2 linked regions of the Cricetulus griseus genome follow. The protein of the gene in region 1 interacts with the protein of each later gene in a biochemical or structural test. Links are inferred from orthologs where the notes say so. Each region holds a gene or a part of one and is shown in the gene's direction. Other genes may lie near its edges.

Region 1 (4,342 bases):
TGGAGCACCGAACCTTTCCTAAGTCCCTTTCTTATCTTCCTGAACCCCCTGCCTTCAAGTGACTCCGCCAGGAGCGAGGAGATTCAACCTTGAGGGCGGTGGAGCCCAACTATGTGCGCCCAAATCCAAAGTAAACACCCAGTCTTCATTAGCAAGTGATTCTTAACACCACACTCACGTTTTGGTTTGGGTTTTTTTTTTTTTTTTTACTTTTTTTTTTTAAGTACTGTTTGTAGAGATGAGGGCGAAAACATATTCCGGCTGGAAAATTACTGATCACGCACTAGGAAGGTAGTGGGGATGGGAAAAGGAGTTACAAGACCGAAATAAAGACCGATTGCCATTTCCCCTCCCGGTGGGCCAAGGGCCTGGGTGCCACTTTTAGAGAACTAGGGTCCCACCGCAGTGCTCCATTTCCCAGCACACGGTCACCTCCCAGCAAAGTCCCTCTGAGTGGACTGGCCAGCTCGAAACCTAAACTGAAGGGAGCGAGTTGTCCTGTGACCTTTACCTCGCCGCTTCACCTCTTTATGACTCATTTTTCTCATCTTCAAACTGAGAGTGCGAGTGCGTAGCCTGTAAAGAGCTTTGAGATTCCTGGTGAAAGGTATCTCTGCGCCTGGATTCCTCCTTGCGCTCCCACTCCCCGCAAGTAAATCTGGAATCCTTTAACTCCCTTCCTTGCTCTTTCCATTATCAAAACTGTAACTACGTGCCCATCCTGGCCTTTTTACTCCATAGCAGACCCTACTCGGAGCTCCTGAGACTCCTAGCCCCCCGTCACCCGGCCCCTATCCCCAACCCTGCAAGAGGCCCCACGGGCACAGCCCGGCCTCTGCGTGCGTATGCGAGGGAGGGCGGGCTGGATGAGTCACGCGGATAATCGCGCTCTTGGGTGAGCAGAGTCGACAGGAGCAACCGCGAGCAGGAGTAGGGGCTCGCCGCCGCCCCTCTCCCCACCAACCCTGTCCTGGCAAGGGTTCCCGTGACCGGGCTTTCGACCGTGGCCGCACAGAGGACCCTAAATCGCCGTGCCACTGAAGCAACGCCGGGATCCTAGCGCCGAAGCCGCCGTCGCCGCCACCGCCGCCGGCGTCAGCACGGCTCCAGCCCGCCAGCTGCCCGGCTGGCGTCACGGCCCAGCCCCGCCCCGCCCGTGCCCCTCCCTCGCCCCCGCCCCCACGTGCGCGGAGTTTGTTTATTTAGCTGTCATGGCAACGCGCAGGGGGGCTGCGGGAAGGCGGGGAGAAGAAAGGCAAGGGGCGGGGCCTGGCGGCGGAGCCCCGCGCGCCACGGGGAGGAGGCGGGGGAGCGAGCGAGCGAGAAGTTATAAGTAAGAAGCGCGCGGCGGCCGCCGGCAGTTCCCCGGCCGAGAGAGCGAGCGCGGCTCCGGGCGCGCGGGAGCAGAGGCGGTGGCGGGCGGCGGCGGCACCGGGAGCCGCCGAGTGCCCCTCCCCGCCCCTCTGGCCCCCCACCCAGCACCCGCCCGTGACCCGCGCCCATGGCCGCGTGCACCCGGCGCAGCCCCCAGGACTCCGCACCCCGCGCCACCGCCCAGCTCGCAGTTCCGCGCCACCGCGGCCATTCTCACCTGGCGGCGCCGCCCGCCCACCGCCCGGACCACAGCCCCTGAGCCGCCGACAGCCACAGTGGCCGCGACAACGGTGGGGGACACTGCTGAGTCCAAGAGCGTGCAGCCTGGCCATCGGACCTACTTATTTGCCTTGCTGATTGTCTATTTTTTTAAGAGTTTACAACTTTTCTAAGCATTTTTGTATACAAAGGAACTTTTTTAAAAAGACATCTCCGGTTTATATTGAATCCAAAGAAGAAGGATCTCGGGGAATTTGGGGTTTTTGGTTTGGGGTTTCGTTTCTAAAGTTGTTTTTAATATTCGTTGACTTTGGGGTTCGGGTACCCCTCTCTCTTCTTCGGACTCCGGAGGACCTTCTGGGCCCCCACATTAATGAGGTAGGTAAGATGCTGGGCTAGGGGAACATTAAAGGGTGAGAATTGGTGGGAAACCTCGGAGCAGTGGCCAGGGTAGCCCCTGACTCCTGGTCCCTGTGCGCCCCGCCCGGCCCGCAGGCAGCCACCTGGCGAGTCTGACATGGCTGTCAGCGACGCTCTGCTCCCGTCCTTCTCCACGTTCGCGTCCGGCCCGGCGGGAAGGGAGAAGACACTGCGTCCAGCAGGTGCCCCAAATAACGTGAGTGTCGCGCTAGTGCCCGGTAGATTTCTGGGGATGTTATGGGGTGGATGGGCAGAATCCAGGGGTCAACCAGGAGCCCCTGGCTAGGACAAGAATTGCCCTCCGTTGAGACTCTACAGCCTTCCCAGGGTGGCTCCTCGGCCCTTGAGTCGGCCTTAAGTGCGTGTGGTCCCGGCACTACGGTACCGCCAGGGGCGCACAGCGGTTCCTCGCTGGTCTCCCGGCGTCCGGGCCGTGGGGTGGGTGCACGAGGACCACTGGTGGCCAAGTCTCGAGACCCTCTGGGCACGAGTGAGCTTAGCGCGTAGGAGACCGGGTGGCTACGGTGCATGGGAGAAAGCCACAATGTCCTAGTGTCCCAATTCCGTGGGCGGCTGGAGCGTCTCGAGGATCTGGCTGGGAAGAAAATTGGGCTGGCGGAGGTGCCGCACTAGTTTGAGGTGGAACCGACGGGCCGCCTCTTACCCGGGTGCTGGCTGAGATTGAAGCGCTGGCACCTGGAGTCCCTGGAGCTGCCTTCCTGCCCTGTCCAGTTCCTATGGCAGGAGTCTGGTGTGCTTCATCCAAGTCGATACTAGGAGTGGCAGCAAGGGGCTACAACTAACCACTTCTCTCTCCCTCTCTGTCCTTGGCAGCGCTGGCGAGAGGAGCTCTCTCACATGAAGCGACTTCCTCCACTTCCCGGCCGCCCATACGACCTGGCGGCCACCGTGGCCACAGACCTGGAGAGTGGTGGAGCTGGCGCAGCTTGCAGCAGTAACAACCCGGCCCTCCTACCCCGGAGGGAGACCGAGGAGTTCAACGATCTCCTGGACCTAGACTTTATCCTCTCCAACTCGCTATCCCACCAGGAATCAGTGGCCGCCACTGTGACCTCCTCGGCCTCAGCTTCATCCTCGTCCTCCCCGGCGAGCAGCGGCCCTGCCAGCGCGCCCTCCACCTGCAGCTTCAACTATCCGATCCGGGCTGGAGGTGACCCGGGCGTGGCTGCCGGCAACACAGGTGGAGGGCTCCTCTACCCCCGAGAGTCTGCGCCACCTCCCACGGCCCCCTTCAACCTGGCGGACATCAATGACGTGAGCCCCTCGGGCGGCTTCGTGGCCGAGCTCCTGCGGCCGGAGTTGGACCCAGTGTACATTCCGCCACAGCAGCCTCAGCCGCCAGGTGGCGGACTGATGGGCAAGTTTGTGCTGAAGGCTTCGCTGAGCACGCCTGGCAGCGAGTACAGCAGCCCGTCGGTCATCAGTGTTAGCAAAGGCAGCCCGGACGGCAGCCACCCTGTGGTGGTGGCGCCCTACAGCGGTGGCCCGCCGCGCATGTGCCCCAAGATTAAGCAAGAATCGGTCTCCTCCTGCACAGTCGGCCGGTCCCTAGAGACCCATTTGGGCGCTGGACCTCAGCTCAGCAACGGGCACCGGCCCAGCACACACGACTTCCCCCTGGGGCGGCAGCTCCCCACCAGGACTACCCCTACCATGAGTCCCGAGGAACTGCTGAACAGCAGGGACTGTCACCCTGGCCTGCCTCTTCCGCCAGGATTCCATCCCCATCCGGGGCCCAACTACCCTCCTTTCCTGCCAGACCAGATGCCGTCTCAAGTCTCATCTCTCCATTACCAAGGTCAGTGGGGGAAGGGATTGGTAGAGCTGCTGCTGGGGAGTTTTGCCTATGGGATGGGGGGAAGTTCTCGGAGACTCCTGAATGAAAGTTGACCCCCCACTTTCTTTACCTAGAGCTCATGCCACCGGGTTCCTGCCTGCCAGAGGAGCCCAAACCAAAGAGGGGAAGAAGGTCGTGGCCCCGGAAAAGAACTGCCACCCACACTTGTGACTATGCAGGCTGTGGCAAAACCTATACTAAGAGTTCTCATCTCAAGGCACACCTTCGAACTCACACAGGTAAGGGGACCAGCGCTGTGGAGGAGGGTTGGTGTCTGTCTGCTCATAGGCTGGCTGTGGATTCCTTAGGGCTTTCTTAGGTGCTGGGGTGTATCTCTTCTCCATCTCCCGGATCACAGAGAAGGGCAGCAAACAGGCGCCTGTGTTTTTGCCCAGAAGCCTTTTGCTTGATGGATGCTATCTGCTGCCTGAATGTGCAGTTTCTCACCCGGCCTTTAAAAGATAGGGAGTT
Region 2 (4,189 bases), about 170 Mb from region 1:
AAATCTAAAATCCCATATGAGCGAGTACATACCATGTTTGTCTTTTTGCGATTGGGTTACCTGGCTCAGAATGGTTTCTTCTAGATCCATCCATTTTCCTGCAAATTTCAAGATTCCATTGTTTTTTTTTTTTTTTTTTTTTTCCGCTGAGTAGTACTCCATTGTGTAAATGTACCACATTTTCTCTATCCATTCTTCGGTTGAGGGGCATCTAGGCTGCTTCCAGTTTCTGGCTATTACAAATAGTGCTGCTATGAACATGGTTGAACATATGTCCCTGCTGTATGAATGTACTTCTTTTGGGTATATGCCTAAGAGTGGAATTGCTGGATCTTACTTTAATATCACCTCTTTAGGGAGGAGGCAGTGTGCTTGTGTGCATGTAGAAGGAATTATAAATGGTAATAGTTAGGAGATGCGAGTGTTGCATTAGACTGTCAGCTCCCATCCTTTCCCTGGGCCTTGCAGGATGGCTTACACAGGTGCTCAATAAATGTCACTCTATTAAACACAGGGACTCAATTTTTCAAATCCTTTCTTTGGATTTCTGCTCTTCTCCCAGTGCCCAGCCAATACCACATCCAGTCTGATGCAGTAGGCAAAGCATGTGGAGTCTGATAAAGTTCGACACCCCTCCGGTCCTCAGACCATTCCTTAGCCGTTGACAGCATCACACTCCCCCCATCTACTGGAGCCTATAAAGAAATGGACATGCACGTGAATGCCAGCACTTTTGACAGCTTTATAAACACATATCGGTGCTCAGAACCGTGCTTATACTCAAGTCCCACGAATACTTATTCAATCCAGGAGGTACAACCTGCCATTAAAGTCTCTAAGTCAGTAACGAAGAGTTATCAGGGGCTGAGGAGGGGAGGAGAACACGCGAATCTCGGAAGGCGTGAGAATCTCCGACCACCACACAGCGGGAGAGCACCACCTTCTGAAGCCCTGGGGAGTGCTCAAGCGGGTTCCTCTCGGGGTCCCCGCGGCACGTGGCGGGCTGGGGCCGGAGCGTCGCGGTGGTGGGGGAGGGGAGCGGCGTGGGCCCCGCGGAGGGGTCCAGACAGCCCGGGATACGTTTGAGCAGGCGCCGAGTGCGCAGGCTCAGTCCGGGCGCAACCAGTACCTGCAGATCGGAGGGGGAACCCGACGGCTGCGGGGGTCCGGGCTGCGAGCGCGGAGCCGAGATCCGCTCCCTCGCACCTCGGGACTGCGTACGACCTAACTGTCACTACACCCCTCCCGCCCCATCCGGCGGCGTCCACGCCTAACCGACCCCTGCGTCCGTCTGCAGACGCGGTTTCCCCTGTCACTCCATAGTGGTCGCGCCCGCCTCCCAGCCCCGCCACCCTGGGCCTCCCCCGCCGAGTGTCGCGCGTCGGCGCCGCTGCCACCCCCGCTCGGTGATCACTGCCTTCCCGGCTCCGGCTCCCATCTCGCTCCGGGCCGTCCTTGTTCCGCGGGCCGCCGCGCCCGCTGTCCCCTCAGTCCCCCTTGTCTGGCCGCCGGGCCGCGGCGGGCGGGAGCAGCCGGAGGAGGAGCCGCAGCCGGGAGGGAGGCGGCGTCCCGAGCCCATGGCGTACAGTCAAGGAGGCGGCAAGAAGAAAGTGTGCTACTACTATGACGGTGGGTGGCCGTGGAGCCAACGGCGGGGCTGCGGGGAGGGCGCGGCGGAGCGGACGCGCCGCTCGGGGTGTTAAGGGTGGCTGTCTGCGGGGACAGGGACACGGCCTACCCGGCTTCGCGGTCGTGGCCCGGAGACGGCCGCCCTGGCTCCTCTCGGGTCCTCCGCACGGGCACGCGCAGGTTTGGGGTGTACTGCCTCGAACCGGTCCCCGAGGAACCCCACTCGGCACCCCGGGCCTGACTACACAAAGCCGGCGGCCTGGAGCTCCGCCCCACGTCCCCGTCCCCTCCCCCGCTCGCCGGGTCCCCCTTCTTGCTGGCGATCTGTCTGTGCTGCGCTTCCAAGCCTCACCGGGACCCCGCCGCTCGGGTGGGGCTGCGGAGGAGTTACTCCTGGCGGGAGGCCAAGTTCGCAGAGCGGCGCTGTCTCGCTCGTGTTTTGCGTGGACTCCATCCCTCGCCTTTGTTCGCCGGGTTCTTTGAGCGCCTCTTTCTCAGGGTTCGGACTGAAGGGCTGCATGCACTTCCTCGGTGACAATTAGGGGTTTGGAGTTGGAGCTAGGCAGGCCTGTGGGGAAGTAGTAAGAGGAGGGAGGTAAGCTTGGAGTTGTTCCTACTAGATGGGTCCTAGCATGCCTCTGTGGGAGGTTGTTACCACCCACGTCTTTGTTGCTCTTTGTTCGATATGCAGTTATACCCTGCTCTGGGGGGGTTAGGAGAAAACATGGGCACCTTGCTTAGGAAGGGTGGTGGGGACCCTGCTGCAGGAAACTTTTGAGAAGTGAACTAAATATTCCAAACAGGTAGGGTGGAGCTCACAATGTAGTTAGTGAATGGTACAAGGTGGTGGTAAGGGGTGATTTGGAGTATGGGCAATAATTGTCTGAGTTCTATAGGCTGAGCAGGTCTCGGGTCTCAGTTACACTAAGTAATGCCCTGTCTTTCGGATTTCACCAAGACATTAGTAGATGACTGTTGAGAGAAGGAATAATTTGACAGAACTAGCCTCATTGCCCTGAAAGACCTGACTGATAATCTACAAAGCAATGCAAAGTTGGGAGCTGTTTTCTATATTTTTTGTGTTGAAGTCACAGTATCTTGGAGAGGTAGATAAGAGCCTAGAGATCCTAGGCTGAATGAAACTGACTTTAACTTGAAAATAGTCCTACCTATTCTTGGTTTGGTGGAAATTTTTAATGCTTGGATTTTTTTTGGGGGGGTGGTAGGGGGCGGTTAGAGACAGGGTTTCTCTAGGTGTATCCCTGGCTGTCATGGAACTCGATCTGTAGACCAGGCTGGACTTGAACTCCCAGAAATCCTCCTGTTTCTGCCTCCCAAGTGTTTGGGTTAAAGGTGTGTGCCACCCCTGTTGAGCATTAATACCTGTTTTAATAATAATGATAATAATAATAATAATGAAAGACACCCATGTCTTTGGCTGGAAAATCAAAAACCTTGCAGAAAGCTAGGAGAAAATAGAGAAGACTATCTAAATGACATTTTGTTTTGTTTGGGGGCTTTTTTTTTTTTTTTTTTTTTTTTGAGACAGCCTCTCTGTATGTGGTCCTGACTGCCCTAGAATTCACTATGTAGGCTGATGTCTCACTTACAGAGATCCATCCACATGCCTCTGTCTCCACGTGCTGGGATTAAAGGTGAGTCCTTAAAGGTGAGTCCTTAAAGGCGTGCCCAGCTTAAATTTCAGAGGACTATGTATGTGTTGAATAAATTTATGTGAAGTTACACCATCATGGAGGGAAGAGATGGGAGAACCTGTCAGTTTAAACTTGAATTACATTGTGAAGTTGGATTCATGGCAAACACTTGTCCTGCATTCTCTGATCCACTGGAAAAGATGTAACCCTGTAAATGAATTTGAAAAATTATAATTATAGCTTTTCTAAAGTAAAGGCTCGATTTTTGTTAGAAAGGTTTAACAGTCGGAACGGGTGCTTAGGACCTTCAGCTGTCAGCTGCTGTTGTCAAACAGGACTGTAGCTGTTTCCTGAGCAGCTATTGGTTCCTGAGTTCATGTTTGGAGGTGAGCCATTGTTGAGGGGCAGGATAGGCACTGGTCACAGAGATGGGAGGAATGGAGGAGGTTTTCAGTCATTTGATTTTTTACATATGCCTAGTTGTAAGCAACCAACTGTATAACTGATGGTGGAAGTCTGCTGGGTTATCTGTCTCTTGTCTGTTCTTACTTGGTGTGTATTTAGAATACACTTACTTAACTTCTGAATATTTGCATTTGGGGGAGCTAACAAAACCACAGAGATTCTTAAATTGATGTCATGGTTATGCTGATTAACATGGGATGACATGCTAGACTACACAAATTATTCTCTACACTTCTGTCTTCAATGCCAAACCCTATTCTTGTTTTCAAAAAAAAAGCAGTGACTTAATTGTCTTTTAAATTGTGGACAGAGGGTGCCAAGTAAAGTAATTTTGTATAAGAAAAGCATATGACTTTTAGATGCACAAAGGGTTGGGTTGGCAAAGGGCAATACCAGTAGTAATGGGACTTGAATAATATACTAGTTTAAGCTAGCTGGGG

Evidence for each region. The genes of interacting proteins can lie anywhere in the genome.
Region 2: the proteins of Klf4 (region 1) and Hdac2 form a complex in vitro, tested with the Homo sapiens proteins (2 studies listed by BioGRID). The link is inferred for Cricetulus griseus from reciprocal best matches to the Homo sapiens genes KLF4 and HDAC2.

The regions. Positions count from the first base shown.
Region 1 is NC_048595.1:88,330,873-88,335,214, forward strand, and holds the start of Klf4 (Krueppel-like factor 4), read left to right. Parts: upstream 1-1,489; 5' UTR 1,490-1,966; coding exon 1,967-1,971; intron 1,972-2,088; coding exon 2,089-2,209; intron 2,210-2,847; coding exon 2,848-3,832; intron 3,833-3,945; coding exon 3,946-4,110; intron 4,111-4,342. UniProt on the Homo sapiens protein: Transcription factor; can act both as activator and as repressor. Binds the 5'-CACCC-3' core sequence. Binds to the promoter region of its own gene and can activate its own transcription.
Region 2 is NC_048595.1:259,837,552-259,841,740, forward strand, and holds the start of Hdac2 (histone deacetylase 2), read left to right. Parts: upstream 1-1,362; 5' UTR 1,363-1,577; coding exon 1,578-1,629; intron 1,630-4,189. UniProt on the Homo sapiens protein: Histone deacetylase that catalyzes the deacetylation of lysine residues on the N-terminal part of the core histones (H2A, H2B, H3 and H4).